Arabidopsis thaliana: one gene and its partners. The protein of the gene in region 3 interacts with the protein of the main gene of each other region in a pairwise test. Each region holds a gene or a part of one and is shown on either strand. Other genes may lie near its edges. The genes, in order: UNE16, AT5G45580 and AT5G66770.

What was found.
Region 1: the proteins of AT5G66770 (region 3) and UNE16 interact in binary tests that used the Arabidopsis thaliana proteins (3 or more experiments, as listed by UniProt).
Region 2: the proteins of AT5G66770 (region 3) and AT5G45580 interact in binary tests that used the Arabidopsis thaliana proteins (3 or more experiments, as listed by UniProt).

What each region holds. Positions count from the first base shown.
Region 1 is NC_003075.7:7,931,910-7,942,561, reverse strand, and holds UNE16 (Homeodomain-like superfamily protein), read left to right. Parts: upstream 1-3,916; 5' UTR 3,917-4,064; coding exon 4,065-4,248; intron 4,249-4,522; coding exon 4,523-4,599; intron 4,600-4,707; coding exon 4,708-4,762; intron 4,763-4,852; coding exon 4,853-4,931; intron 4,932-5,009; coding exon 5,010-5,079; intron 5,080-5,275; coding exon 5,276-5,698; 3' UTR 5,699-5,956; downstream 5,957-10,652. Other genes in the region: AT4G13650 (Pentatricopeptide repeat (PPR) superfamily protein), read left to right, coding at 1-2,951; AT4G13630 (zein-binding protein (Protein of unknown function, DUF593)), read left to right, coding at 6,533-7,082, 7,159-8,276, 8,428-8,469; AT4G13620 (Integrase-type DNA-binding superfamily protein), read right to left, coding at 9,258-10,424. UniProt on the Arabidopsis thaliana protein: Transcriptional activator. Probable component of the central regulatory system controlling transcriptional responses to Pi starvation. Binds in a sequence-specific manner to phosphate starvation-regulated promoters.
Region 2 is NC_003076.8:18,476,504-18,487,518, forward strand, and holds AT5G45580 (Homeodomain-like superfamily protein), read right to left. Parts: upstream 6,506-11,015; 5' UTR 6,144-6,505; coding exon 6,002-6,143; intron 5,689-6,001; coding exon 5,612-5,688; exon of another isoform or gene 5,573-5,611; coding exon of another isoform or gene 5,519-5,572; coding exon 5,452-5,518; intron 5,303-5,451; coding exon 5,227-5,302; intron 5,143-5,226; coding exon 5,064-5,142; intron 4,991-5,063; coding exon 4,589-4,990; 3' UTR 4,306-4,588; downstream 1-4,305. Other genes in the region: AT5G45573 (uncharacterized protein), read right to left, coding at 44-73; AT5G45590 (Ribosomal protein L35), read right to left, coding at 8,140-8,229, 8,573-8,657, 8,762-8,877, 9,494-9,724.
Region 3 is NC_003076.8:26,655,700-26,667,092, reverse strand, and holds AT5G66770 (GRAS family transcription factor), read right to left. Parts: upstream 6,783-11,393; 5' UTR 6,371-6,782; coding exon 4,616-6,370; 3' UTR 4,174-4,615; downstream 1-4,173. Other genes in the region: AT5G66790 (Protein kinase superfamily protein), read right to left, coding at 1-814, 911-955, 1,198-1,912; AT5G66780 (late embryogenesis abundant protein), read right to left, coding at 2,897-2,970, 3,078-3,202, 3,300-3,466; SDH1-1 (succinate dehydrogenase 1-1), read right to left, coding at 9,869-10,009, 10,101-10,221, 10,316-10,385, 10,484-10,654, 10,737-10,911, 11,020-11,207, 11,331-11,393. UniProt on the Arabidopsis thaliana protein: Probable transcription factor involved in plant development.

The DNA of each region.
Region 1 (10,652 bases), on a different chromosome or scaffold from region 3:
CTAATCATCAAACTTTGAAATGGCTTCTTGAAGGATGTTTGAAGACAAATGGGTCTTTAGATGAAGGAAGAAAGCTACATTCCCAGATTTTGAAGTTGGGTTTGGATAGCAATGGTTGCCTCTCTGAAAAGCTTTTTGATTTTTATCTTTTTAAAGGAGATTTATATGGTGCTTTCAAGGTGTTTGACGAAATGCCTGAGAGAACGATTTTTACTTGGAATAAGATGATAAAGGAGTTAGCTTCTAGGAATTTGATTGGAGAAGTGTTTGGTCTTTTTGTGAGAATGGTTAGTGAGAATGTTACTCCGAATGAAGGAACTTTCAGTGGTGTTTTGGAAGCATGTCGTGGTGGTAGTGTTGCTTTTGATGTAGTTGAGCAGATTCATGCAAGGATTTTATATCAGGGCTTGAGGGATAGTACGGTTGTGTGTAATCCTTTGATTGACTTGTACTCTAGGAATGGGTTTGTGGATTTAGCTAGAAGGGTTTTTGATGGGTTACGTCTGAAGGATCATAGTTCTTGGGTTGCAATGATATCCGGGCTTTCGAAAAATGAATGTGAAGCAGAAGCCATTAGATTGTTCTGCGATATGTATGTTTTAGGTATCATGCCAACGCCTTATGCGTTTTCAAGTGTTTTAAGTGCGTGTAAGAAGATAGAATCTCTTGAGATTGGTGAGCAGCTTCATGGGCTCGTATTGAAGTTAGGGTTTTCCTCCGACACTTATGTTTGCAATGCACTTGTGTCTTTGTACTTTCATTTGGGAAATTTGATATCAGCAGAACACATCTTCAGTAACATGTCACAGAGAGATGCAGTTACTTATAACACTCTTATCAACGGGCTTTCTCAGTGTGGTTATGGTGAGAAAGCTATGGAATTGTTCAAAAGAATGCACCTTGATGGACTTGAACCAGACAGTAATACTCTTGCGAGCCTTGTGGTTGCATGTTCAGCTGATGGAACTCTGTTTAGGGGACAACAGCTACATGCATACACAACTAAACTTGGTTTTGCTTCAAACAACAAGATTGAAGGTGCGCTCCTTAATCTGTATGCAAAATGCGCTGATATTGAAACCGCCCTTGATTATTTTCTTGAGACTGAGGTTGAAAATGTAGTTCTCTGGAATGTGATGCTAGTAGCTTATGGGTTATTAGACGATTTAAGAAATTCTTTTAGGATTTTCAGACAGATGCAGATAGAGGAAATTGTTCCAAATCAATATACCTACCCGAGTATTTTGAAAACTTGCATACGACTTGGGGATCTGGAGCTTGGAGAACAAATCCATAGTCAAATAATAAAAACTAACTTTCAGCTCAATGCCTATGTTTGTAGTGTGCTCATCGATATGTATGCAAAATTAGGAAAGTTGGATACTGCCTGGGATATACTTATAAGGTTTGCTGGAAAAGATGTTGTGTCTTGGACAACAATGATTGCAGGTTACACGCAATACAATTTCGACGACAAAGCTTTAACAACTTTCAGGCAGATGTTGGATCGAGGGATTCGGTCTGATGAAGTTGGATTGACAAATGCAGTTAGTGCATGTGCTGGTCTTCAAGCCTTAAAGGAAGGACAGCAAATTCATGCTCAAGCTTGTGTATCTGGTTTCTCATCTGACCTGCCATTTCAAAATGCACTGGTTACACTTTATTCTAGATGCGGAAAAATAGAGGAATCGTATTTAGCGTTTGAACAAACTGAAGCTGGAGATAATATAGCATGGAATGCTCTGGTATCCGGATTTCAGCAGAGTGGAAACAATGAAGAAGCACTTCGTGTCTTCGTTCGAATGAACAGAGAAGGAATTGACAATAATAATTTCACGTTTGGGTCTGCTGTGAAAGCTGCTTCTGAGACAGCTAACATGAAACAAGGGAAGCAGGTTCATGCTGTGATCACCAAAACCGGATACGATTCAGAAACCGAAGTTTGCAATGCTTTAATCTCTATGTATGCCAAGTGTGGGAGCATTTCTGATGCAGAGAAGCAGTTCCTTGAAGTCTCCACGAAAAATGAAGTTTCGTGGAATGCGATAATTAATGCTTATTCTAAACATGGGTTTGGTTCTGAAGCACTAGATTCTTTTGACCAGATGATACATTCTAATGTAAGGCCTAATCATGTGACGCTTGTGGGAGTTCTATCAGCATGTAGCCACATAGGACTAGTGGACAAGGGGATTGCATACTTTGAATCCATGAATTCAGAATATGGATTATCTCCTAAACCGGAACACTATGTGTGTGTAGTGGATATGCTAACTCGAGCTGGTCTTTTGAGCCGTGCGAAAGAGTTCATTCAGGAAATGCCTATTAAGCCAGATGCCTTGGTCTGGAGAACACTTTTGAGTGCTTGTGTAGTGCACAAGAACATGGAAATAGGAGAATTTGCAGCGCATCATCTCCTAGAGTTAGAACCTGAAGACTCAGCAACATATGTTCTTCTGTCAAATCTGTATGCGGTGTCCAAGAAATGGGATGCTAGGGATCTTACAAGACAAAAGATGAAAGAAAAGGGTGTGAAGAAAGAACCGGGACAAAGTTGGATTGAAGTTAAAAACTCAATTCACTCTTTCTATGTTGGTGACCAGAATCACCCGTTAGCAGATGAGATACATGAATACTTCCAAGATCTTACCAAACGAGCATCTGAAATCGGGTATGTGCAAGACTGTTTCAGCCTATTGAATGAACTGCAGCACGAGCAAAAAGATCCAATAATTTTCATCCACAGCGAGAAATTAGCAATTTCATTTGGACTCCTTAGCTTGCCTGCAACAGTGCCTATAAATGTAATGAAGAACCTACGTGTTTGCAACGATTGCCATGCTTGGATAAAGTTTGTATCTAAGGTATCAAATCGAGAAATCATAGTGAGGGATGCATATAGGTTTCATCATTTTGAAGGAGGTGCTTGCTCTTGTAAAGATTACTGGTAAGAGCCAAAGCCTGGTAGCTCACTCGCCTCTTTTGGGAAGGTTAAGTCTGTGTTCCAAAGTTCGAGCTCTGGTTCTCGCTCAAAGAAGGAGATCATGGACCAAACCTTACGGGTAAGCTGAATTCTCAGCAATGATATGATACTAGACGATATACTTGAGCAAAGAGTATTATCCTGAAGGAAAGAATAGTCACATGACTGTTCTTGAGGAAAAGTTGGAGTTGATGCAGGAGTTGATCATGAGCAAAGGAGACCATCGATGACTTAACAAAACGAACCACTCCTTTGTTTCTACTACCATTGCTAAGTAACTATCACTATCTTTCATACCCCATCCTTTTTTAGGGGCTTATATATGTGTACATATTACATATATACGTGCATCTATGGCTTTAAAATTGATGAATTGTAGATTAAGAGAAAGTGTCTCAAAATAAAGATTCTATGTTGCCAAGAAACAGAGTCTCTCTTTATGCATATGAATGATTGATGTGCTTCTGATTTCTTAATGTTTTATGTGGCTGAATTTGGAAACTGCTATTACATAAACAAATTTTGTCAATAGTAATATAAAAATTAAAAAACTAAAGCTAAAGAATACTTTTTTTCTCTTGAATTATATAAAAGAAAAATAATTGGAAAAATGTCTAGTAGGTTTAAAGGATTTGATATTTAAAAAAAAATTGAGGACCCTATTTTTTTCTTTTTTCATTTGGTTTATTTTAGCAGTTAGCACCATCTTAAGATAGAGAACTTGAAGTTTTATTCTGCTATTGAAAAACGAAAATAATAACTAAAAGAAATTTTATCTTACTACTTTTTCAAAACATATATGTTATTTGGAATTTCAATGCAAAGAGTACAAATAACCAAAACATAAATTCTGCTCTCTCTTTTTTTTTTTTTGAAAATATCTAAATAAATTCAATAATGCACAAATATAAACACAAAATACTATCCGAGTGTTGTCTTGTCCAATCTATCAACTCGTTTCTTCGCTGTCTTAGAAATCCACAATATCTTTCTTCACACTTTCTTTCACTTTCCCGGGAAAACAGCCGAGAAAATAAAAGAAACGAAGAAAAGTTTGTTCCTTTGTGGGGATCAAAGAAGAATGTACTCGGCGATTCGGTCTTCGCTTCCTCTAGATGGCAGCTTGGGAGACTACTCTGACGGAACCAATCTTCCCATCGACGCTTGTCTGGTCCTAACCACTGACCCCAAGCCTCGCCTTCGTTGGACCTCTGAGCTCCATGAAAGATTCGTTGACGCCGTCACTCAGCTCGGCGGACCCGACAGTAAGTGTCCCTTCTTAGAAATTTATGGATCTTAGAATGAAATGTGTTTTTTTTTTTAATCTGTTGTTCTTCAGTTAGTACGAAGAATTTGACAACGAGTTAGGTCTAATTTCTTTCAGATTTGGAAGTCAATCATCCTGAAATAGAATGGATTTCTTGGGTTTATGTCACTTAGAACAATTTAGGAATTACTGTGGCATTCTTTAGGTTTTTTTTATTGGCCTTGAGATTTGTTTACAAGATTAGTTTTTTTGTGTGTTTGGTTTGATGTCAGAAGCAACGCCTAAAACTATAATGAGAACAATGGGAGTGAAGGGTCTCACTCTTTACCATCTCAAATCTCATCTTCAGGTTTTGATGCTACTACCTTCAATATCAAATTATGCTTCTTTGGCTACTTATAACAAACAAAGTTCATTGCTTTTTGACTGTGTTGTTCTCTGGTTTTTTGCTCGGTAGAAATTCCGCTTGGGGAGGCAATCTTGTAAAGAATCAATTGACAACTCTAAGGATGGTATTCAGTTATATCTTTAGCTAAGAATCCATTTATATCTTTATGGATTCAGTTGTGCATTTATATCTTTGTGAACTTATATCTCTGTAGTTTCTTGTGTTGCGGAGAGTCAGGACACTGGTTCATCTTCAACATCATCCTTAAGATTGGCTGCTCAAGAACAGAACGAGTATGGTTTCAAGTGTTCTCTTTATTCCAAGTGTTATATTCACTGTCTATAACACTCATTGTTTTTGTCTTGAGCCAGGAGTTACCAGGTCACTGAAGCTTTGCGTGCCCAGATGGAAGTCCAAAGAAGACTACACGAGCAACTAGAGGTTAGTTTCTTCTTCGAATTCACCAAATACCAGAGAGACTTTGGTTAATGAGAGACTATATAGAAACCTCCATTGAATTTCCTTAAAGCTTATCAGAACGTTACTACTTAGGAAATCTTTTCATGAAAGTTAGAACCATAGAAACCGCATATACTAATGTTTGAGCCCTGGTTCCACATTTAATAAGATCCATTAGTATACGCAGGTGCAAAGGCGACTCCAGTTAAGGATCGAGGCACAAGGGAAGTACCTGCAATCAATTCTAGAGAAAGCTTGCAAGGCTATAGAGGAGCAAGCTGTTGCATTTGCTGGGTTAGAGGCAGCTAGAGAAGAGCTTTCAGAGCTAGCCATAAAGGCCTCCATCACCAATGGGTGCCAAGGAACAACAAGCACCTTCGACACAACCAAAATGATGATTCCATCCTTATCCGAGCTTGCAGTAGCAATAGAGCACAAGAACAACTGTTCAGCAGAGAGCTCTCTGACTTCCAGCACTGTAGGAAGTCCGGTATCAGCTGCGTTGATGAAGAAGAGACAACGAGGAGTGTTTGGAAATGGAGATAGTGTGGTTGTTGGTCATGATGCTGGATGGGTTATGCCTAGTAGTAGCATTGGATGAAGTTAGCAAGAGAGAGAGAGAGAGCGAGACCAGATTTTAGCTTATTTAATTTTGCTATGTTGTATTTAACTCTAAACTCTGTCATCAAACTTGTCTTAGCGTCTATGTATATATTTGTTGAATCTGTAGCCTCTCTTTTAGTTTGTGTATTTGCTTCAACTTTTTCTAAGCTTGCCTTCTTTTTTCTTTTTTGGACAAACCTAAATATAGAATTTATGTAATTGTATAACATAAAAAATACTCATTAAATACTCATAACTTATCTCCATGCTATAGATTGGATCTTGTCTACAAATTAGTTGGCACACATTTGCGTAAATGCACAAATTTGATTACGTGTGTAAAATAAAATGTCAAAGAAAAAAAAAAAAATCTCAAGAGGAAGAGAGTGATGGGGTCGGCGATAAAATGACGGCGTATCTGCTCACTCGTACGGTGATTTGCAACTGAAGTTTTGAAAACTAAAAAAGAAGTTTTGATTTTTGAACAAAGAGAGAAAATAAAAACGGCAGAGGAAGAGCCGTTTACGTTGTGCTTGCTTCCCCAAGATTTCTCAACTTCTTCTTCTTCGTGTGAGTTTCAATTCTCTAATTTACTAAAAATTAATCAAATCGCAAGGAGTTTCTCTGTGTTAACGATTGATTCATCGTTGAGTTTTCTCTGTGGTAACGATTGTGTTTATATATAATTTGATTGATTGATTGATTAACTTACCAAATTAGTCTTAGATTTGGATATATGCTTGTAATTGATTCAAATAACAATTTGATTCTCTAACCAATTTCTCAAACTTTGAGTAATTTCTGTAGATTATTGTATACTTGCAGGTATAAAATGCGTTGCCAGGAGGTAAAATCATGGACATTTAAAGGTTTAGTGGCTGCGTTTATCGATCTTTCCGTTGCGTTTTCGCTACTTTGCGCATCGTTTATCGTTTATGTAACATCGAAGTTCCTCGGTTTATTTGGTTTAGACCTACCATGTCCTTGTGATGGTCTATACAGTGAGTGTTTTCAAGAGAGTTTAAGGAATCTTCCGGTTAAAAAGATCTCTTCTGTTCAAAGATCTGTTAAAAATAGAACACCTTTTGATTCAATTCTGTATAATGGTGGAAAGAAGAGAAAATGTGAGCGTAGACGTGTTCAGTTGGAAGATGAGGTATCTAGTACTACTCCTTCTGTTGGAAAGTTTGAGAATAAGGCTTCAGGGTTCGATCTTTTAACTGCGCAAAGTTTGAAAAAAGGAAGCTTTAAAGTTAAGAGTAAGCGGCTTAGCTTCCATAGGTCGCCGTATGGTTTCAAGAACCATTACCAAAGTTGTTTAGGCCTTAAGAGCTTTGAGGGATCATATGATGAAAATGATCCTCTTCTTGTGAACTCCAATGGTAAGTTTTTTTGTTGTCTTTATTCAATTATATTGGATAGTGAATGTTGATTTTGATGCAAGTTGTAACATTGTAGATAGTGGAAAAGCATTGGAGGATGTGTCGTTGCGGAAAAGTGTTTCACTAAGTTCTGTTGGGTGTGGAGTGGGAGAGGGTGCATGCAGTTCCCCTGGTATGGTACAGAGGACGGTTGAGATGTCAGAACAAGTGCTTGGGGAAGAACGAGCTGCACGTGCTTCGTTAGCTCTTGAACTTGAGAAAGAGAGAAATGCTGCTGCATCTGCTGCAGATGAGGCTTTAGGTATGATATTACGGTTGCAAGAAGAAAAGGCGTCGATAGAGATGGAAGCTAGGCAATATCAGCGGATGATAGAAGAAAAGTCTGCTTTTGATGCGGAAGAGATGAGTATTCTTAAAGAAATTTTGCTTAGGAGGGAGAGGGAGAAACATTTTCTGGAGAAGGAAGTTGATACCTACAGGCAAATGTTTCTTGAGACTGAGCAACCTCACAATACTCCAGATTCTAAACCAGCTCAAATCGAAAGATTGCAGACGCCGCAACAGATTACTGAACCATGGGATGACATGGAGACTGTGAATGTCTCTTCTGGATTTGAGATCTTCACTAATCAGATGGACAATACTGAGTGTGATCAGTCAAGAAGTGAGCCATTTGATGCCCTGAGTGATATAGAACTGAAAGAAAGAGAGGAAGGTGAAACTTTATATGCAGAACTAGTATCAAGAACTAGCGACATTGCTGTTTCTAAGAAGCTTTGTGAGGACCCTCACGACATTGATTGTCATGTACATGACATCCATGTAGTGACTGATGAAGATAACAAGGGGCAACTGAATGTTCCTTCTGACCATGCCACTCAGGATCTGAAACTGGACAGATCACAAAGTGTTTCAGATACAAGTTATGCATTTCCACAAGGGAAAAGTAACATGTCTACCAATATGCGAAGAAATTCAATGTCAGCTATTGACTATGAAAGACTGAAAATAGAGAGTGAAGTTGGGTTGCTGAGAGGTCGGTTAAGAGCTGTACAAAAGGGAAGAGAGAAGATCAGTTTTTCTTCCAAAGATCAGAGCAAATCGCAGGTACAGCGTTGTGGAGATAAAACAAGCCGGTTTTGGGAGGCTAGAAGATCTGGACATCTTGACTCTTCTAGCCCTTCATCCACAATGGTGAGTTTCATCGTTGTGTGCTTTGATATGAGGGTTGAAAAATTGCTAAGAGTGCTCTCTTTGTTTCACAGTTCTTGGTAGTTAAATCTTCCATGGTTTTTTGCTTACCAAGTGGCTGAATCTTGTATGGTTTCAAATGGTGTTTTTGCAGGTAAAGGCTATGTCTATGCCACTGGACCTGCATAGTGCTTGAACTGCAAGGTATGTACTTACTCGAAATAACACGACACGATTATACGCCTAGTGAAAACATGAGCAAGTGTAGTTTTGTAACAATCTCTGCCAAAACTCTAATGTTGGTTATTGCCGGGAGAGTATTGTACTTTGTACTCTAAACGGCGTCGTTTCGAAACAAAAATTGACGCTTTTGTGGTCGGTAAAAAGTTTAAGTTTCTTCTCTTTCCAAATAAGTGATACTTGTCCTCTTTCTATTTCTGTGCCAAAACTTTAGATTTTTCACTTTTGTTTGCATATTCGGAAATACAATTGAAGCTAAAAATGACATAATTATTTCTAAAGTTATATAATCAACTTTTTATTTGGTTGTAGAAACTCATATTGTAGTTGTTGACAAAAGAAAAGATAATCTAAATTCATATTTGCCCTTTAACGCTTCTCTGCCCTATTACTATTCATATTCTCTATTGACCTTTGAGCTTTAGTATAGAATGTAGGAAATATTCTAACATTGGACTTTTAAAGTTGGAGTTGGTGCAACAGAATTATAATATTTTCTCATTAGAAAACAAACACTTTTCTATTTTATGGTTACTAGTAACCGCAAAGAAAAGAACAATTAATTAGCAGACAAAAAAAGGAGAACCACTTGATTATGTGGTCGTAAGAAGAATTACAATGTGTTCAACCCCAAATGCAAACCAATCTTGGCATCATAATATGAATTTCTTTCTTTGGTGGAAACTTTTGATATAAAAAAGGGTAGAAGTAAGTAAAATAAGTTTGACAAATATTAATTTGAAGTCAAGAAGAATGAGGAAATGAGAGAGCATCCCAAATGAGATCCATATCCAAAGAAGGCATCCTACTCAATTGTACACCATCTCCTTCCATCACTTCCTTATGGCTTTTCTGTTTCTTCATCATCACGTCTTCTCCTGACTCCATCTTCATGTGATGATTCTTTTGCTCCGGTGTTCCCACTTTTGGAGGAGGAGGAGAAGGAGAGTTACTTACTTGGGAAGATGAGATCTGTTGAATCTTGGACTCCAAAAGTGAGGCGATCATGCATCGCAAAGAACCGGACTTGAGCTGGTGTTTAAGATCAGGAAAGTTGAGGTGTGCGAATTCGCCACGAAGGATATAAGCTGCTGTATCGTAAGCCATTGCTGCTTGCTCAGCGGTTTCAAAAGTGCCGAGCCAAACACGGGTTCTGTTCCTTGGAAGCCTAATCTCTGCGACCCATTTGCCCCAGTGTCTTTGTCTCACTCCTCTATACAGTTTTGTTGGGGTCGTCGTCTGAACAACCTTTCTTGTTTTTGACTTCATGGGTTGAGTCTTGGTGGTACTTAGCCAATAGTTTCCAAAACCTTTCGAGGGATAGTTGGTTAGAGTTTTATTGATCTCTACCCATTCGTTTCTGTTTTGGTCTGATTGATAAAAGGAGTTTGGGATGTATTTATGGTAAGGGCTCATGTTGCTTTCGGATTGAGAAAGTTCTAGTAGCTTTGGTTCTTTAAGGAACAAAGTAAGGTTTGGAGGTTTAGAAGGATGATGATCAGGATGTTGAGACTGAGGAAAAGATTCTAGAAAGTTCCAAGGAACAGAAGCTACCGGAGATGGATGAATAGAAGATGTGAGCTCATGATCATGAGGCGACACAAAGTAGCTCGGAGTCGAAGAAGCAGGAAGAAGAGGAGATTTCATACCTTCCAAAAATATTGGAACACCGAGAAGTTGTGGCGGCGTCGAAGAACTCAAGAACCCGTAGATTCCAGAAGACAAGAGCTTGTCGTGCATGAAGCTAGTTTCTATTTTAGGAAACTGATCTTCCATGTTCCTTTTTTTGTTTGTTTTTTGAGTGTTTGTCCAGAGAATGAAGCCTGTTCTTAATTTTGACAAAATAGGTGGAGAATAAATGTTTATATATACGAGAATTAAGGAGTGTTGTGTGTGTATTGGTGTGATCATGTGGAGATAATATTAGAAAATTTAAGGAACCTAACTTTATTGTCCGAAAAAAACATTATCATCTGACTCAGATCTACGCTCTGCCAAGCTTAATTTGTTCATATGTAAACTAGAGAATTAAAGAGTCTCACAAACACTTTTGGTTAAACAATATTATTGTTAATATTTTGTATTTTTTTCTTTCATAAACAATAATTTGACCTTTATTTTTTCTTATCTTGCGACTTG
Region 2 (11,015 bases), 8.2 Mb from region 3:
GTCCAGGAACTCGAGGTGAACAATATTGACCTCATGGCGAAACTGGAAGTAGGTAAAAATGCCTATCTTCCATCGTCCCCTTTACAAATGTCATCGAATCCTATTTATACTCAATACATCGAATCAAACGTATTAAAATACTTGCTGACTTCACGCCGCGGATCTCGCGTTATTAACGTCGTACGTTACGAATCTTCAATTCGGGTCTTTAATGCGCGGTTTAAGTCGTTCTTTTGATTTTTTGGTTTATATAAGCATCAAAAATTTGCAAATCAGATTTTTTGGTTTTCATTGGGATACATCTGTTGATTGAATGCATTAGTGAAAGCTTTGTGGACGTTTAGGAGAAGGCTGCTTAATGAATTCGTTGTATTTTTTTTCCCTTGGTTTCAGACATATGCAATGTAAACAGCAAACGGGAATCGTTGGGATTTATTGTCTTAGAACAGAATCATAGAAATGAACATAAAAAGAAAAAAGTCATAAAAGACATTAAGCCTTGCATGTCTTACGATTGTGTCCAATTTGCTTGCAATTGCCACAAGTGTGTTGTCTTCTAGGCTTCTTCTTCTCCATAGCAATCTCTAGTGCAGACTTAATTCTCGATTTCTTTGGTCTACCTGGTTGTTGACGAGCTTCCGGTGGTAAACATATCTTCGACACGACATTCTCGGGAACAGGTATATCAAAGTTCCTGGGCATGATGGCATTAGCATAGGACTTGCATAAATAATTCTTCTGAAAGTAAGGATGACACAATGATATCCGAGAAAGTTTTCGTTTTTCAGCAGCTGCAAGCGCGTGGGCACATGGGATCTTTTCTAGGTCAAACCTGCGACAAGAACATTTCTTGTCCTTCAAATTAACAACATGCAGAGATGCTCCAAACGTAACTTGTACTTGATTTGCATCTATGTCTTGCACACTTAGCAATTTAGCGTGCTCTACACGACTCTACAAAGAAGACAATGTCATTAGTTAGCTATAATCACCAATATACGGACGTGTATAAATTGTGTTTGTATTAGAAATGAAACCTGCAATATCTTCTCTACTCCACGAGTAAGATATGTAGACAAATTCAATGCATCATTCCTTCTGTCTGAAAACCATCTCGTCATCATGGATCTAATTTCTTCTAACAGTTGTACAATAGGAAGGCTTCTTGCGGGTGACATGACCTTATTCATTGACTCCGCAATGTTACTTGTAAGCAAGTTGTACCTATCACCAGGAAAATGCACACGAGTCCACAAACGTACATCAGCTCTTTGAAGGTAAGCATGAAGAGCAGGATTCAAAGCTAAAATCTGATCAAATATCCTTTCAAAATCGACTAATCTGAAAGCGTTTGCTGCCTTCTTTACCAAACCAAATGCATCCCGACCTTTAAAGCGAACTAATATATTCTTGTACAAGTGGTATGTACAGATTCCCCGGCTAGACTTAGGATAAACTGTCATTATTGCTCTTTTAATGGATTGGTGCCTGTCTGAAATAATGGCGAGACTTTCATCATCTGGAATCACACTGCTGAGTTGTCTAAAAAACCATTCCCATGAGGCATCATTTTCAGTATCAACAACGGCAAAAGCAATCGGGTATATCTGAAAGTTACCATCTTGAGTTGTTGCTGTAAGAAGTGTCCCTAAGTATTTTCCCTGTAAAAAAGTACCGTCAACAACCACCACTTTCCTCATGAAAGGGAATCCTAAAATACTTGCACCAAACGCAAGAAACAAGTACTTAAATCGCTGTGTTTCATCCACTTCAAGTCGCGTGAAGGTTCCAGGATTTTCCCTCCCTAGCATGTACAAGTATACCGGAAGTTGCTCGTAACCACTTTCTGGTGTATACCTAACCATCTCTCGGGCAGATCTTAGTGTCCGATAAGCCTTCCAGTAATCCATCTAATAAAATGTATTGACTTTAGTGATTAGTTGGTTGAAAACAAGGTGTAATTAATAAACAAAGAAAGCCAAGAAATTGGAAATCGTACCTTGATTTGAAATCGTTTAGTCAATGCTTCGGCAACGTGCATTGGGAGAACCTTAGGTCCAATTCCACCAACGTAATTCTTATAGAGCAATCCAAGTATTTCGTGAGTAGCTTGTCGAGAACGTGATGAGCGTTTAGTAACAGAACATGTATGTTCCGAAACATACACTCTCACCTGAAACTTTGGATACTCGTCAACTGGTGTTGCTCGCACTCTCCATCGACATCCCTTAATCCAACACTTTACAAAATATAATGTAGGAGTCGATTTCGAAACATCAAAATCAAATTTCTCTAACACAGTAAGTATCTTCAAACGTGTCTCCAAGTGATCTTTCGTTTCAAAACATTGACCAACGGCCAATCCCAATGACGATAGTTCTAAGGTCTCGTATGTAGCATCTCCTTTATCTTCTTCTACGTATACACTTAAACTCATCTTCTTGCTTGATACGTTCGTTTTATCTTCTTCTTCTGGTGGAATCCCATAGAGGCTAAAGTTCTCATCATCAGAATCTGTTCCGTCGGAATCATCACAGTAATCAAATCTACTCCCGTCATCTTCACCATCTTCAACTGCTTCAGATTTTTTTCTTTCAACAACGCTATCAGTATGAGTGAATACGTCAACGTTTTCAACGTTTTCTTCGACAATACCGTATACATCAACTGCTTTTGTCTTCGGCAAGTCGCTGCTACCTAAATCATCAATGATTTCCTCTTCATATTCATCTAGAACTTTCTCTTTTAATTCAACACAAAGTCGAACAGTATCATTCTTCGTTTGCCCCAAATAAGACTGAAACTGTCTATTATTACCAATGAGTACAGGTGGAGTATCTGCTGGTAATTGCTTTGATTTCGGGATCTTGTAACTCAAAATAACTTCAAATACACTCTTCTCGATATTGTAATCCTCATACACCATTTGGATGAAATCATCATAACTGGTTTGACTATTACCTTCAAGTACACGACAACCTTTTGTACTATCAACCACAAAAATCCATCTCGTTTTCTCATATACCCATTTACCACACACGAGAATTACTTGATCCATACCAAAGAGAGAATCGATAAACAAGGGAATCGAATTTGTGTCAAAGATGAAGCAACTAAGATCTCGAATAGGTAGAAGAATAATGGATTGTATTGAAATTAGATTTGGTAGGCGTTACAGAAGAAAAAAGAAAACGACAATGGCAGTTTTTTTCATTGGAAACCCTAGGCGTTACGAGAATATTCCTTGACTCAAATATGGTAATATTTCGGAAAAATCTGTCGCCTAATAAAAGTCTGTCATAACGTTTTCAAAAAAAAAAAAAAAAAATCAAGTCAAACCGGATTTAACATACAATCAAACCGGAAATAATTTAATTGAGGGCTAGCTAATAAATCTCATATAACAAAAAATTTCGAAATTTTAAAAATAAATCTGCCAAAAAAAGTCTGTTATTACTAAAAAGGTTATTCTAGTCATAAACAAATCGGCCATAACATTGACATGAGTAAATCTGTTATGTTTTGACACTGAAAAAAAAAACTGTCATCACTAAAAACAAATCTGTTATCACTATGTGACTGTGTAGTAATTTTATTTTTTAACAAAAATCTGTTGTAAAACACCAGATTTGTTAACAAGTTAATTAAATCTGTGATTACACAAAACAACTCTGTCATGCCTATATAACATTTTTCGAGGTTAACAAATCTGTTATAACACAACAGATTTTTGGGTGCAAATAGAAAATCTGTTGCCGCCATAAAGAAAAATCTGTGGTCCGAAAAACAAATCAGTGACAGATTTGGTTTCAACATTCTTACTTTTGAAATTTAAATAAAATCTGTGGAGACTATATGAAACAAATTAGTCACGGTTAAAAAATCTGCGAAAAAAAAAAAATCTGGCGTAACATAACACAGGAAAGTCTGGGGTACAAAACAAGTCTGTTGTAAAAAATCTGTGGTTGACCAACAAATCTGTGATCGATAACAAATCCGTCGCAACAAGAGCCACAGATTTATCAAAAACGACGATGGCATTTTCGTAAATAAATGTGGTTTTATTGCCTTGCTGGAATTAAATAGTAATGGCATTTCTGTAATATTGTTTTTCTCTGCAAAGGAAAACAAGGATAATTTAGGTATAATTATTACTCAAATAACTCATATTTTTAGCATTCCTTTTGGGTCTTTATGTATAAAATATGGGTTACTCTATTAAATTTCCCTTATTTTTAACTGAGAAAATCAATCATGAGAATCAAATCTCATCTTTGTTTGATCCTCATTTTTTAGAAAGAGACAATTAGATGCATAGACATATTTTTGAAAAGAATTAAGAAACAAGCAAATAGGTTTTGAATTTTGCAGAACAAGCGAGAGAAGATGCTACACTTTATTATTCACAAAAATAACTTATTTAGTTAAACCCAATTATTCCGTATTTAGCTGATATCAACTACTTTGGACTTCAAATATGTTCTTGATATTTGACTGAGAAACCATGAAGCCAAATTTGTAACATTCTATAAGAAATGTAAAGAAATAATAAAATAAAATAAAAAATTAAAGAAAGTGTCTCTTTAACCTATTGAAGTCTATCTCCAATCACATTTGGCTTCACTTCAATCCCATATTTCCCACAATTCAAGAGATCATACCCACTTTTGGAGTTCAAATCAAAATGCACAAACCCGGATTCTGGTTTAACACATGCATCTCCGGTTTCTATTTTCTCTTGTTCTCCACATAACCGAAACTCTTGAGAGGAATCACCACCATTAAGGTGTGAGATATCAGTAACCAAACCCGCCTTCTCGTTCTTACGATCACTTCCTACAAGTCCCGAAAGTGCGAGATTGAAATCCGAGAATTGACCCTTGTCTGTTTCCCCTGCATTACCACAAGGTAAGCTCTTCTGTGCTTTCTCTAGTAATGTCAACAAATATTTTCCTTGTGCCTCCATTCTCATCTGCAGTTTTTTCTGCACCTATAACACCGCAAAAACTTCGGTTTAAAACTTTTATTCATTGTTGTGAGAGAAGAAAGAAGAGATTTGTTACCTCGAGTTGTTCTTGAAACCGTTGTTGCGCATCGACCTGATGTCTCATTGCCTCAGCAAAAGGTACATTCCCGCTTTGTCTACGTGTGTTCATTAACATTATGTCAAACTCAAGCTTTACAAATCCATTATGTCGAGAGAAGGCAAATTCATATATAATATACCTTTGATGGTTATCAAATCTTGAATCATTGGAGATTCCTCCTTGAGAACAATTGTCGAAATGCACATATGAACTTCCTGTGAATACAAAAATCAATCAATCTTTGGTTTCTCAAATGTTATCTACATTAATATTCCTTAAATACATCATATGTATATATATATTATACTCTACTATAAGCTGAATTATATATAAATCTTGAATTCTTGATAATAATCATACATACCAGCATTTTCTTTGTTTTGTTCTGTTCTATTTTGTTTTTTGCCTTGTTGTTGACCAAGTCTATACTTCTGCATATAGAAACACATCATAAGAGAGAATATAAACCAACAATTTGTAGACATTATACATTATTATATACTCAAATTTGTATAAATTTGGACCTGTAAATGGCTCTTGAGATGGTACAGTGTTAAACCTTTTAATCCCATCAGCTTCAGAACCGATTTAGGAGTTGCTTCTACAAAACCAAACCAATAACAAATGTCACTAAGCAAACAGATATAATTACATTTGTAACCTATTAAATTTGAAGTTATCAAGCTACATAGAGAAGAATCAATTGAATCACTGGCATTAACTTAACCAACCAAACCGAAGTGAACCGGAATCATAATGTGAAACCGGTTATCTCAATTGAAGAATAAGAAAGAGTAAAAGAGCTATAATGTTGTTACACAGATACATCAACTGTAGATTTAACCGGACTGAACCGGAATTATAAAGTGAAACCGGTTATCACAATTGAAGAAGAGGAGGAAAGAGGAGCTTACTGTCAGCGCCACCGAGCTTAGCGACGGCGTCGACGAAGCGATCATGAAGATCGGCTGTCCATCTGAGCCTAGGTTTGGGATCTCTAGTCATCATAACTCCGCCATTATCGTAACCTAAACCTCCGAGATTCACTCTTTCCATTTAATTTTCCGATCAAACAAAATAATGGCGGGAAACTCAGTCGGAAGAATGAATCAAATAACTTCGAAATTTTCCTCTTCTCAAGGATGTGATCGGAAAGAGGAAGCGTAAACTCAAAAAAAGGAAAAATGGCAATCGAACTACGAAATATTGGTCGGAAAGAAAGTGGAAGAAATTTTGTTAAAGATGGGAATGCGAGTGATTAGGGTAAAGAGATAATCGGCGACGAGAGGACGAGATAAATAGAAAGAAGTGTGATGATTGATGGAGAAAAAGAGATCAGAAAACTTTTTGAGGAAAATCTCAGAGAGAGAGAAAGGGAACTTAAAAAAGTCGTCGCGGTGATGATGATGATGGAGGAGGAGAAGTGGTGACATTATTCGTGACTTAACGTCAACCTTCGGTTAATATAGTATTATTATAATATATGTATAATACAAATTATGGATCCAACACTAAAAGTTTGTTTATATACAAAAACAAATTGTATCCATATCGAAATATTATGATAATAAAAAAGAAAATAGTAATTATTAACGTTTTTTATATCGATTTTGTGAATAGTATGAAAGCAAAACATAGCAAAATTTTATTGTATTATGACTGATTAGTGATTTATTGCATACAAACGCAATTACCAACCGCATATTACTTGCGTTTTTAATTGTGTCTATGAGATGCTAGACCGTGTATATGTCATGTTGTAGAATAAAATATATACATGATTGCGTACTTTTTTTTTTCTTTTTGTAATCAATCAAGAGGTATTTGTATATTCAGAATCGTAACATGGGAGAGAGGAACATGGCCCGCATCATGGATATTTGTTTACTATACCTAGATTATTAATGTCCAAAGAATATATAGTTTCTAGGAATTATCATTTTTATCATTTGAATAATTTATATGTTAGATTTATGTGTTTTTAAATCAGATAACTTATGACTAAAGGTTTTGTCTCATTCTCATACAATCCATGAATCAAAATCTCTCTCCATGTTGTTCCTTTATTTAGGTATCATATAAATTTATCATTCATATGTTGTCGGATAGTCTCAATTTGAGATAGAAGAAGAAAATAAACATAGAAAATGTTTCGACCAAATTACTAAATTAGTAATTTGTTATTACACATTCCACATTACACATAAATCAATTCCGAATAATCAAATAAAATGAAATTCATTTTTTTTTTGATAAAAGATTTGATGAAATTCATTGTTGTATTGTGACCTTTTAAAAATTGTTTTAAAAAAAAAACAAATCGTTGTATTCGGCGACGATCAATACATGATGAGTGATGAGCGGTGTCAAATTCCGACAAGAGCGACATAAAACCTTTTTTTGTATTTTTTTAAAAACAATAACAATAATAATTCAATGGTTTTAAAAAGGAATTTATATGACGAAAACAAAGTGCATGGGGCGAGCATGTCACGTAGACTGCCAGCGTGGAATATTCGCCGTCGGACAAGGAAAATACAATAATCTGAAACTCACATGTTCGACGGTGGGGGTTTAATGGTATTTCAACATAGGACACGTGGACGGCTTTGTTACTCTTTTGTCTTTTACGTTTGTTGAAATTGAGACCCACAAGAAATACACACGTGGAACCAAGGCCGCTTCGTTCGACCGCAATCGTTTTGTCCTAACCAAACATGAGAATGGGTGTATTTTTCAATCCAAAGCTCGGTTTACACCGGTACAATCTGACTAAACCGAAATATCATATAACCGGACCGACTCGGGAAACAAAGTTTCTTCTGGTTTAGCTGGAAAATGTACTTGAGAAAAAATCATAAGCCTAACTTGTTTCTCTTTTCAAAACCGATCAGTCTTAACGCCAATTTCACCATATTTCGAAAACTCAATTTATTCCAATGAAGTTAAACTGAAACATAAAGATTTTTTGAGTACCAGTGAGCAAAATTATCTGGTAAAAACTGGAAGAGACTGGCTTTCATCGTAATCATACTGTTTCATGCTCTATCTCTCAATTGCAGAAATTGAGTTTCTTCATGACTTTCGCATATGCTGGTGGTACTAGTCCAGGTTGTCTCAATCTACGCTTCGATTTCTTTGACTGCATCAATTAACAAAACAAATTCTTTACACTCAACATTTCTCAACCTGACTCAGAAATCTTACACAATGATGAAACCCCGAAGAGGTCCAACAACAGAGATGGTATTGTAAAATACAACTTTGCCTACCATTTGTCCATTTAGCTAAACAAGGAAACACCTAAAGACTCGAAGTTCAAAACTAGTTCTATCCAAATTTAAGTTCACTATCACCAGAATCAGCTGTTGGGCAATTTTCGATCAGTTCTATCCCTAGGTATTATCATACTGTTCCTCTAGAGGCGTAGGCCAAAGAATGAATAAAATTTTCTATCATCGATATGAGGAATAAGGTGTTGTTACCTTCAAATGTGCGTTGTGGCGCTTGCCTTCTTTCCAGCGACGGATGGTACCATCATTTAGTGGTTTAAACCTGTCTTTGAATGACCTGAGATATAGATTCAACACAAAAAAAAATTGTTGAGAGAGACGCCCAAACTATTACTAACAAGATTTGTTGATAATCTGGGAATCAGAAGTTTCAGCACGTACGAATAAAACTTAATCTTGACTTTCTTGACTTTTGATGTGATTGGAGTCCTAGGTCTCCACTTCTTCTTCCATTTTGCCATTTTTTCCTTAGAAGTGATATTTCGTACTTGAACAAACTGAAGGCAGAGAGAATCAAACGTACATAAGATAAGCAATCAGATATAAATCAATGTTGGTACTTCGTAGTGATGATACTCAAGCACACCGCCTTTATCATCTGGCTTAACGAACATGATATCAAAATGCAAGAGCTACTATGAACAAATAATTCTATTTTCGGAAAACACGCAATCAAAGCCATGACGATTCTTCTTTCCTATGATCAAACAAGGGGCACAAAATTCAAGAACCGTACACAATAAATCCGAATGTTAAGATTCCAAAGAAAACATGTATGTATCTTATGAGATTGAGTAAGCTCTTTTTTTTTTTTTAACAAAAGAGATTTAGTAGGTTAAAACTTGCAACGTAGTGATATATGCAAGCACTGACTTGTATCAGTTGGATTCAAAACAAAGTGCAAGTAAGCTTATTAACATTCTTTGAATTAGTATTTAGTAATCCATGTTGTTGATTTTGTTTCAACAGAACATATAGAAAATTCAGAAGAAGCTAAAACTATATACCAATTCAAACTATCTAGCTCGTCACTCGTCAGATCTTGTCCTCCTAAGATTTGTCTCAATCAGCAGATATATATAAAGCAATTGAAGCTAAATTCTGGAAACTTACGTGATGAGGAACAAAGGTAGTGCCCATGGAGCTAACATTCGACGGAAAAACTCCGGCGGCGGGAACGAAGCTCCATTTGGTGGAATTGGCAAAACCTAGGGTTGTTGTTGTTAAGTGACGACTCGGAGAAGGAGAATGGTGAATGAGACGGTGAGGAGAAGCACCGTAAAAAGAGAGATTCCGATTAGATTGGAGAGAAATGGAACGTAGCTTAGTGCAAAACCTCTGCATTGTCGTCTCCAAGGGGAAGAACAATTTTCTGATTGAAATGCGAATTTTATAAAAGAGAAGAAGTGTGTGTGACAAAGCTTTGGGGTTTTTGGGAAATGATTTTGAGTGTTTGGTTATTAGGATAACTCTATTCTTTTTTACTCTTTTTTTTTCTTGTCATCATTCTCTTTTACTTTGATAATGGTAAAATGTCTTTGGGAAAAAAGCCAAAAAAATACCAAACTAATTTGTTTTTTTTTTGTAGGCGAAGGGGACAACGAGTCCCCTTCAAAATATTATTATAAAATTAAACCAAATTACAAACAAATACGCCGTGAATACGAGATCCCACGATAGTCTTCATCAAAAAAAGATGAGATACAATCCGAACAAGAATCTAGTAAATGCAACCCTAAAAGGCATAAAAATGCATAATTAGCCAAACCATCCGCAAAGTGATTCGCCTCCCTATACACATGAGACAATTGGACCAACCAATCCTTTGATAAAAAGCCATAGCACAAGCGTGCTAGGAACGACAAGGGATGAGTATCGCATATCCCCGTCTTAAGAAACCCCGCAACCATCTTCGAATCAACTTCCAACTTTAACCGAGTAATCTTGTTCTCCCATGCATAATAAAGCCCATAGTAGAACCCCCAAAGTTCTGCTAAAGGAGCCGTACATACCCCTATATTAAAAGCAAAACCTTGGACCCAGTTCCCCACCGCATCTCTAATGACCCCACCAGCCGTGGCTAAACCCGGGTTACCTCTTGAGGCTCCATCCGTGTTAAGTTTGAACCATCCTTCATCCGGTCTTGACCAAGCAATCTGACGCTCCACTCTAACCCTCTTAATCTGACCTCCATTCGCAAGACAATGTGCTTGATACACATCTTTTGATATCTCTTTCACAAACTGGGTACGATCACGGCACTTCCTATTCTCACCAAAAACGTTCCCGCATCTCCACTTTCACGCCCATCACATTGCCATACTGAACACTGTCCCCCACGGTATCCCCTCTCTAACCACCTGACTTCCCACGTTTCCATAAATCCACTCTAGTAATGTTTGAGTGTAAAAAGGTCTCTGGAGAGTAGGTGGAACAATACGGTTCCATATCCCCATCATCGCCGGACAATCCCTGAGAATATGGAGAATAGTTTCATCTCCACTCTTGCAAACTTGGCAAATAGCTGTATCACATAAGTGTCTTCTCTGTCTCTCAGTGTTAGTCATAATAACCTGATGAACAACTAGCCAAAGAAAAACTCGCACTCTTTCCGGTGTCCGTTAACAGCTGGGTT
Region 3 (11,393 bases):
GAGTAGGGACGAGTGAAGTCTATGACTTTAAAGCCTGAGATGATTTCTACGAGAACAACTCCAAAGCTATAGACATCACTCTTGTCCGAGAGCTGAAAATCTTGGTGATATTGAGGATCTAAGTATCCTGGAGTGCCTTGTGGAGCCGTGGAGATATGAGAGGCTTCGAAATCGGTAGACATGCCGAGCCTAGAGAGTCCGAAATCAGATATCTTGGAGTTGAATTCGTGGTCAAGGAGGATGTTACTAGATTTTATGTCTCGGTGGTAGATAGGAGGGTTTACTGAAGAGTGGAGATGTGCGATTGCGTTTGCGGTTTGACACGCAATGGCGAGTCGGAGCTGCCAAGAAAGTGGTGGTTGGCCTCTCTCGTGTTGTAAATGCTGATAAAGAGTTCCGTTTGGCATGAACTCATAGACTAGAAACGGTTCTCCATCTGCAAAGCAACAACCTAAGAGACGTACTAGATTTGGGTGGCTCACAGAGGAAAGAAGCTTGATCTCGTTCACAACTTGGTCAATGCTTGTAGTGTCTTTGTGTTTGAGACGTTTTATAGCGACGCATGAGCTGTTTGGGAATTCGCCTGCGTAGACTGTTCCGTATGCTCCGGTTCCGAGCATGTTCTTGTCGGAGAAACTATCGGTAGCTTTCTCAATCTCTTTGTAGGTGTAGAAAGGAACACTTGAGTTTCCGGCTAGCTCGCAAAGCAAGCGATTCGCGATTGATGCTCTTTCAGATGACGCAGATTGCTTGTTCCGGAAGAAATATGTAGCTATCAAGACCACGATTACTAAAACTCCAACCAAAATCCCCGCTATAACAAAAACACAAAACATTCAACTTTTCGAGACTTAATTAAACCGCAACTAATTGATACTTAACCGAATAATAGGATTAGTAATTTACTTACCAGTACCAAGAACAACGAGTTTGTGTAGTCCTTTGCGTTTGTAAACTGAAACCATGACAGTTAAAAATAATTAAGAGAAATATCTTTTCTTTTCATTTTTTTGTCGGAACAGAAATATCGTTTTGTTTTATTGTTTATCAAAAAAAAATCATTGTCAACTAATTTCTTCCGCCAAGTTTTGAAAAGTCAGCTTTTCCTCCTTGCTAAAAGCGTACGTGTCATTGTACCATTGGTGTATTTGTATGTCGGTCAAGATTGGAAAACAAAAGTCAAAGACCGGAACGAACCTAATCGGTGGCAACCACCAGGCACGGTGAAGGCTTTACCGCTAAATCCTTCACGACAAGTGCAGCGATGACCGAGTCCACCGTCGTCGAGCTTAACTTTGGCACAGTCTGCGTTCTCCGAGCAAGTGGTGTTACTGCAACTTCCCTTAAGCCACCAATCAAGCTTGAGTCGACCCAAATTGACCGAAACTTGCGATTGAGAAATAGAAGAGAACCAATACTTACATCCACTTCCGTTCACAACGTCGCCTAAACTCATCACATCGGCAGTTGTCGTTGTTGCTCCGTCGAGACAGCTAACCGGAGATTTACATTTGCTGAGATTTAACCGGTTTTCAACGAATTTATTGCGGATTAAGCAATTAGAAGACTTGTTCTGTTTCTTGCATCCTTGGACGAGAATTATGTTCTGTAATTTCGACGGAGCAAGATTTTCCCGGAAAAGTTGTTCGATTTTACGGATGTTGCGTTTGCAAACCGGCGGGATTTCGACGTAGATGTTGGAGTTTGTCACTTCTTGCACAGCGAATTCACCGATCACGGCCTCTCCGGTTATCTCAGAGCAGTTGAATCGGATCGGATAACCGTCGGAGAAACCAAACGGGTAACGGAGCAAACTTGTTTTGCACTTAACCGAACCGGTGGTTTGTGTAGCAACGGTTAGAGTGAAGACGAAGAAGACGAAGATGAGATACGGTTGAGGAGTTTCTGCCATGGAGAGAAAGAAGGATAATGATGAGATCGAATGATTGTCCCAATGGCAGAAACTGTAAATTCTGCAACTTCGTTTCCGGTTTTTATGTAATTTTTAAGATATGTTTTTGACTGTTTCGTACTTTCGTTACTACCAGCGGGTTGAGTTGACCTTGTATTATAGTTCAGAGTCTGAACTTCAGACCATTGAGGCATTGACCAACTGCGAGCTGATAATAAGGGGGTAGTCTTGACATTTTGGCTTTAACGTTCGTTAATCATGCATCATAGCCTCGTTAGGTGATTGATTAAATGAAATTTGCCCCCAGTGTTCGAATAACTACAGATATGATACTAACCAATAATAAGAGATTGTTAATACAAATATGTGCATGTAACTATGGAAATAAAAATTCAATTCTTTGTACGAAGCAAGTGTAGAACACTAAACAGTAGAAGCTAAATCTCCTCAACTCTGTTTTGAGACGTACGATAAGAACTAAAAACTTGTTGAAAGTTTTGAAGTGCGAACTTGGAGTGAATATTCCAACTTCTAAGACGTTACTAATAACATAAATTATGAACACGCAACACACCAGCTAAGTTCCATCAGCATTGGAGTTTCAGATGAATTTACCAAATTTATCTTCGCTGACGTTACTTTTAACGTGTTGCATCGGAATCGAAAGTCCGAAAACAGGCTAATATTCATTGCTGACGTTATCTAAGAATGTTTTCCTCGACGGTTCAACTAAAAAACCGTAGATTTGTTCATAAATAAACAAACACAGTCAAATTAAGGGAATGTTCAACAATCAACAAAAACTACTAATTCAACGAGTGTTACAAAAGTGATAAGGATAACCAACAAAAACCCGGTAAAGGTTACGGGTCAAAAAACGCAATTAACAAAAAAAAAACTCTAACCAGAGTCTACGAACTACAGAGCACAAGTCTGATTTTATTAAAGCATAAAGAACAAAGACACTAAATCATCATTTTTTCTTTAGCAGTGGGATTGTGTCTGGTTCCTTGCTTTCTCCTTCTCCTTCGATTCGCTACCTTGCGTTTTGTCGTAATCTTCAATAACATGAAAACACACACACACACACCCAGAATCGTAAACAATAAAAGTGATCATATAAGTAGTAATAAACGTGTATATGATAACTAACTATTCTGAGTACCAGGGTGATTCTCATGGATCTCGTTTTCCTTCTGAAGTGTTTGATTTCCTCCATAGATTCCTCCAAACCCTTCTTCGTCAGACCTTGTTGCGTACCCTTCTCCATAAGAATGCGACATCACGTCACTGCTCCATCAAAGTAAAGAAGAGAACGAAATTTTTTTTGAATAACATCCAAATTACGAATCAGAAACAACTACACACATATGGGGAGGAGACGAACCCGGTTTTCTCGTTTGGATTTTCAGGCTTTTTATCCATCTTTTGCTGATCAGAAGTGGTGGCAAAACTAACTCCAGTGACTTTCCGGCCTAATCGAGATGGTGTTGAGCAGAACGAGACGGTGGTATTCGAGGGCAGTGATCGGATAGTCTTAAAAGCGTTGATCATTTCTCTGCTTTTGGAGGTTTCTTGAAGCTTAAATTTATAGAGTAAGTAGTTTTTATTCTTACGAGGAGATGATAAGTTTTAAATTAAAACCCTTTAGTAAGGTAGAGTTAACGAAGTTAAATACGTCAGGTTTAAGCTTAATTAAGCTTTCCTGTCTTCCGACATAATAGTACGACGGTGTCCTGATCAGAGTTTGCCTCGTGGTGCTCTGGTGACAGGTGGCGGGACTTAACAAGGATTTGAATACGTGTTTGTCAGGACTGTGACATGTGTTGAGCGCTGCAACGGGTTCAGATTTCTATGATAAATCCTCTTTTAGCAACTTGGGCCACCAAAAAATCTAAATGGCCCAAGTAAGTTGGGCTAGAACAAGTCGGTAAAGACATCGAGAAAAGAGGGTGGGAGCCACGTGACCGTTAAAAGAAGACGGATGGAGGACGTGGGAGTGATGTCATCATTGGCACACTCAACAAAAAAAAGTAAAATCAGTACAGTGACTGAGACTGACACTGAAAGACTCAAATAGAGCAACTGTGGCAACTTTGACACATAAGAAACAAAAGAAGATGAAGTTTGTTTTAAAGTGAAAAGAAAATGACACTTATAAATTCAACACACATCTCTTATTCATGTAACTTGTATTTGTTATATCTTTGCAAGTATTGACATTTAGCTTTCATAAGTTGTACCATGTTCAGATATACTTATGTATAATGGTAGATATTCATATATCAAAACTACATTTCATCACTTTTTTGAGCAAAATTACAAATAAAAGAGTAGTTACAAATATATTTGGCTTTCAACTTCCTAATTTTATGAAATAGTAATTACATCTCAAACAGATGACCAGAACCGGTCACTTTATCCAACCAAAAATAAAGAAGCAAACCAGTTTAAATTATCTAATGAGAAAACAACAAGACTAAGACCAGTTTTTAAACCTAGTTCACAAATCCAAATGATGTTACCAAAAAACACATAAGGTTCAGAGAATTCAAAACCTACCCCTGAATTAATTCAACGTTCGAACTAAAAGAAAAACAAAACACTCTGACCACGGAGTATATTAACAATTGAATATTTGTCTAACCAAAAATAACATTGAAAACAAAACAAAACTAAGAATACCGGATCGGTTTGGTTTGGTTATCGCCAGGAAGAAAGAGTGAGGAGAGGTAAATCGTTCCAGGCCAAAGAGATGAAGCCAGGCTTAGATTCAACAATTGAATACAAATTGCTGTAATTGTAATTCCACAATAGAATCTTCGCTTGGCTCACTGCGTAATTACTCAGCTTAACCGATTCAAAACCGGCATTCTCCATTAATACCCGCCATTGCTCTTTCTCTTCCATTCTTTCTCTATGAATTCCGGTTTTCTCCGGTCCAATCAAACCCGAGATTCTCCGGCCGAACAACTCTCGCTCAACTCTCACTCTCTCCTCCGAATCACGCCCCAAGTTCGGTTCAAGGGATTCGAAAACCGCGGAATAGAATTGAAGCGCGTTCTTTACCCGGTTAGCGAAACCGACCCGGTTTAAGCTCACTTCGTATTCTCCGAGAGTGACGACCCTCGGGTTCAACGATTTGGCGAGCCGTAGTGCGGTGTCAACTATCGTCGGCGTCTCGTCGAGTAATTTGTAGAGCTGGAGCATGAAATTCACGGCCAGTACTTCATCCGGGTCGACCCGGAAACTTGACCCGTTAAGTAAATGTATGGGAGTGAGAATTGGGATGAAATCGAAATTCAGATCCAGAACCTTGGCGAAATCACGGAGGCGGTTTCCGGTGGCGATTAACGACGGTTCCGGAGATTCACCGAGAGATGGAGCGGGTATACCCGAGACCCGGATTTGAGTGGGTTTACCAGAAGTACGAGTAGCTAGAGCTTGAAGAAGAGCAGGCCATTGTATACCTTGAACGATTCCAAAATCGACGATGTGAATCTTGTTCGACTTCTCCGTCGCTTCTAGAATCGCTTGATTCGCCGTCAAATGTGCGAATTTGGAGTAAGGACAAGCGTCGTTTAGGGTTTTATAAGATAAGATTAAATCCTCCGTAGATGAAGAAGAAGACGACGTCGCCGGCGAATTAGGAGACAGTCTGTTGGAGAGAGCTTCCGTGAAGTAAAATGCAACTCGCTCCGTCGGATCACCTAGCTCCGATACAGATTCTCGGATCTGAAGAAGCGTCTTGGAAGCTTCGTTAGGGTCAGAGTCTGAGATCCGTGCACAGTCGTATATAGCTTTGAGGAGAGGTGGTTCTAGGTCGAAGTCATCGTCTTCGGAGTCGTTAGTCTCTGGATCTTCTTTGGTTGGTGACTCATGAGTAAGCGGAGGAATCGATAATGGCGAAGAAGGAGGCCACAAGGTCGGCGGAGGAAGCGGACTCGACGTGTCAATGACTCGGTTTAGATCTGACGGTTGGACACTGAGTCGACTCGGGTAAGTATCGAATGGATCAGGACCGTAGATTACGTAATCGGGATTATCATGCCAGGTGTCACAATCAGGACCGTCTGCAACGGAGTCTCCACCGCTGATAAGAGTCTCCATCCACTCGTCGGACTCAAACTCGCCGCCGCCGGTTCCACCGCCGAAATCAGATAACCTGAACCCACCGCCGGTGGTTGTGGCGTGGTGGTGGTCTAAGTTAGGAAAAGGAAAGCCAGGATCGTTGGAATCTCCGCCGCCGGTAACTTGAAACGGGTCGGGAAAAGCCGAACCTGAAAGCCCAAACCCGAGGGAAGTATTGGGCCATGGGTTAAGAGACAAAGGATTAATACCAAAAATCTGATGGTCTTGATGATGTTGCTGCTGTTGTTGTTCTTGTTGCTGCTTCTGTTTGATGACTTGTTGAGCAATAGCCATTAGATTGCCACTATCAGTGCACATGTAAGCCATTCTTAACGCCTAGATCTAACCCTCCCGGCGGTCTATAAAAACCACTGCCAAACATGCAGATTTGCGGTCACTGAAGAAGAGGATGATGACCAGAGAGAAACGGCGGGATCTCAAGCTTTGGATTTTAGAAGAGAGAGAGAGGTAAAGAGAGGAGAAGAAAGAAAGGTCAGCCCTAGAAAGTGGATCAACGTTTGATTAAAATCTGACCGTCTGATTTCATTGTGGGTCCACACATTTTTCTTTGTTATTTTTAAGACAATGATATTTGTAACGGTAATAATACCGATATAAACACACCACATCTCTTAACCAATAACATATTTATGCATACATTATAGAAATCATTGGATCTAATTCCAAATTGTTAGTCTCCTAAGAAAGAAATAGAGAGATATGTACAAGTTACTCCCACATTAGTTTTTGTGTGTAAGAGAATGTTATCATAGTTTTACATTGTGAACTCGTCATTATCGATTCATCCGCTAACAAGTTTCTGAATTTGAGTTCACAATGTTGTGTAACATTTTTTAAAGACGATATGACATATAATGGCCGAGGTTGTTCATATTAATGTCTCCGTTTGGGATATAACAATGTAAATTTGTTCACGTGACGCACACTCTCGCGCCAAAACAAAAATTAAACAGATTTTATAATCAAATACTAAAAAAATGTTTGCTAAATAAAGGAATAGAAGATAAAATAAATTAAAGAGAGCTTTTTTGGTGAGTGAAACGCTCAGTGGGAGGAGAGGATATGACGAAGCTATGGGTCCTTCTTCATCACTAGACAAATAAACTCGCTCTTTTCCTTGTCAATATTGATATTACTTCTTTCATGCCTCCAAACTATACCATATTTTCAATAAATTCGTACCGTATATAAATCTGGGTTAAGATAGATGTAAAATATGTTTACAAAAAATGAAATTAACCTAAAGTTTAAGAGTGATGAAGATTCAGAAGACTGAGAAGTGTATGAATGAAAACAAATCTCTCATCCCGCTCTTTTCGAGGGACCCGAGAGGTGGGGTCCACCACTGTCAACGATGACGTCATCATACTGTAGGGTTCCTCATCTCTGCCGTTGATCTCTGTAATGTGTATCTTCTTTCCCATCACAAACTGCTCTTGACTCTCAGTGACTCACCTACCTCCTTAATTATTCATTCATAGATAAATAAATAGATGGTCTTATTTTCATGGTTACCAAACAAATTAAAAGAAGAGTGCAATTGATGTGAAAATTACTTGTTTGTATATATATCCAAACATTAACATCATGATACAATATAGACGCACCATAAAATAATTAATTAAAGTAAGACATAATCTCAAATTGTATTGTCAATTTATTCATTGACAACTTGTTATATATATATGAGACTGTGTGTGTGTTATAATTTATATATAGTTTGTATGAGGGTGACAGATGGGCCCATGGATCAGCCCAATATACATGTAAGTTCTAAAATATGACACGGAAAAGGAATCGCTGGTGGGGCCTTTTTAACTGTTATTGGATCGATCTTGCACAATTGAAGCAACCAATCTTAAAATTAGCTTTTAAAAATTACCCAAAAATGAAAAAAATAAAACAGTATTTCCAAAGCTTTTAAAAAAAATAATCTGGAGTGTTTTTAATAGTAACACATACAGTAAGGGAAATATAATCTGACAGCTTTTCATCTTTTCACATATATAATTAGAATTTTAGAACAATTGAATCCTATAGAATTTAGTTTTTCTAATGTGTGCAACAACCATACTAAGTGCAACGATCACCAAAAATTAAAATGTGAGTTTGTGTTGGATATTTAAAGTATTTTGGTTGAACAGAAAATAAAGAAGGATATAGTTAAAGTATTTTCTTTTTATAAATGATAATTTGCAAATGTGTTTTTTTATATAAAAAAAAGTGAGTGGGAAAGAAAAATATGCAAAAAACAACGTTTTAATCTCTCTGGCTTTTCGACTAACCTCTCTTTTGTGTTGCACTGCACCTTTGTCTCCACGTCAAAATGTCACTCACTTCACTTTGGTGACCCACTTCTTACACATCTCTCTTTCAGTTTTTACATAAAACATACAACAGTCTCTGAATATACAGCACTAGGTGCATAGTGTTTTTCAGATTTCTTATGAACTATATTAACATAAAAGCAGTAGATAAGGTAATTTCTCTACAATTTGGTTAAATTCATTGTGTAAAAAGTAAATAACAACAAGAATTAGTTTTTATTCTAATGAGTTTTTTTTTCCGGGTAAAACTCCATATATTCTAATAAGTTTTGTATGTCTATATATATATATATGAATCTTCCCCCATTAAGCATAAGTTCCGTAACCGGTCAAAGTAAATTTGAAAAAGATTTTTTACTTTAAGATAAGGATAAGAAAAAGAAAGGTGTATGAGTGAGTAAAAACCCTACTTTATTGACAAGGTTAGATGAAGATTAGACAATTTAATTACGACATTCCTCGATTTCTCTTTCATACGTTGCGTTTTAGGCATTGCTAAGTCAGCTTTGTGTCGAAATTTTTTAATTAACTATAATTGATTGGGTTTTGGAATTGTTAAATGTGAAATGAGCAGGTTAATAGATAAGGTTGGTTGGTGAAGTCGACTGGTTTAGTTTAATTTGTGTGGAGCTTTCTAATTTTGTTATCGATTGGTTCTAATTAGGAATAACACACACGCATGCGGAAAAATATAATATCTTATGGTTGGTTAGTGTAATATTGAACTACATAATTAGTCGAATTGGTGTGGGGCTAGTTTCTAAGCTTCAAGGTCGTAATCATAGATCATTTTTGTATTTACATTCACCGACTGTATCTTCAATTTGCATATGTGGAAGAGCACTTTTTTAGTATACGCCATAAGCAAGTGGACGACTTTTAAAGAGAGATACATTATAAAGGTCACATTTTCTACGGCCAACATTATCATCTAGCGACGACGATCGGACCAATCTAAAACTCGCTCAGATACGCAAATATTGAACAAAAATATTTGAAATTACCCCCACTTGTAGGCCTAAAAAATGCCTTGACTGATCCGAATTTACCTAAAATAAAATTTTGTTCAGACAAGAAAAAACAACCCAAATTTTGTTTTTCTAATGGTCACAACTCAAAATTGTATCTCGTGTTCTGATACCTATTATCACCGCAAAATAACTTTCACGGTCGATACGGAATTCGAACATTTTGATTTAAAAAAAAAAAATGAATATCACCAAGGCGTAATTAACAGGTAACAAAGAATGTAACAATTTCAGGAACTGATAAAGAAAATAAGAATTGTAGTGTTTTTTCCTCTTTCTATCAATTTATTTTCATCGTTTCTGGTGTAAAACGTAAACCCAGTTTCAGAACAGTCCTTTGTGCTCCATCAGCTCATAACTCCGTCTTCTTCTCCTAATTCCCTTTTTTTGGGGGGTTCCTGATTATTATTATTATTCCGATAACAGATAAAATAAAAACATGGGCTCGATCAATAGACACGAGCTTTGGGAGGGAAAGTGTCGATCTCATCGTCGAGAGTGTCCATGTGAACAGGCCTATAATCCAATCTCACTTTCTCATCTTCCCAATATCCCAATGTATGCTTCATCCATTCTCCATCCTCTCTTTTCTGCATACACACGCATTCATTTATACTACGTTATGGTTTCATCATTATGGGATAATCAATCATTGTGGAAAAGCTGAGCAAGGAATCAAACCGTGAAGTCTTCCCGAGCATGTGCTCCTCTGCTTTCCTTTCGTGCTTCTGCTGAATGCATTGTTATGGATGCGTTTATCAAAAGGTTCTCCAGTTCCAATGTCTCTATCAAATCCGAGTTCCTGCATTTTATTCATAGTTTCCAAGATTAACAAGAGTTCACCAGATTTTATAACAGTGTGATAATCAATCCCATGTGAATAGAGTCTGTCTTACCATATCATACTCCGATCTTTCACCTGGACGTCCCCAAAACTTTCCCAGGCCTTGTCAATCAACTGACAACCTGTGATTGTTTCACGGTAATAAATTGTAAAGAAAATGGATTGCAGTTGCAGGTGAGAGAATTAAATAAATGCAGAACAAGTTCAGATCACTGTTTACCTTCTTCCAATGTTTCTTGCGTGCGGAACACAGCTGCGTTGTTCTGCATAATCCTCTGCATGTTCAATCTGATAGTTGAAGTAGGTAGAGACCCGTTTGAGTTTCTCAACCTGTCCAGCCATGCAATAGTCTTCTCACCCGCATCCTTCTCAAGAGGTTTCTGTTTCTCCCCTGCACCAATCGAATAAAGAAAAAAAAATGATCAGAAGAGACTTATCTTTTATAATAACAGCAGTCCTCAAAAAAGACTAACCTGGTTTGCTTATCTCTGCAACCCTATTTGCACAAGCACGACCAAATACGACAATGTCGAGCAGTGAATTTGCACCAAGCCTGTTGGCACCATGAACAGATGCACAAGCTGCCTCCCCAGCAGCCATTAGCCCAGGAATCACTGCATCTGGATCATCGCCTTTGATGGTAACTACCTGCAGGATTTAACAGAATAACTTTCAGAGCTAGGCTTCTAATCCATCTCATGCTTAACTCCACACAAATTTCAGCAAAGTTTCTTAAATGACTTTTCTTATTCTTACCTCGCCATGGTAGTTTGTTGGGATACCACCCATGTTATAATGAACCGTGGGTAAGACAGGAATTGGCTCTTTGGTAACATCAACACCAGCAAAGATGGCAGCGGTCTCAGAGATTCCAGGAAGCCTTTCTTTTAGAACTTCTGGAGGAAGATGATTCAGATGGAGATAGATATGATCCTTATGCGGTCCTGGAAGATATCAGCAAAAAGTTGTCCAGGGTGAGAATCAAACTAGACTGATCACAATATCAAAGCATATCATGTAATGAGAGTTCACTCTGAAAATAAGAAGTAGTTTTCAGTGGAACATACCTACACCACGACCTTCCCTGATTTCCATAGTCATGGATCTGGAGACAACATCTCTTGATGCAA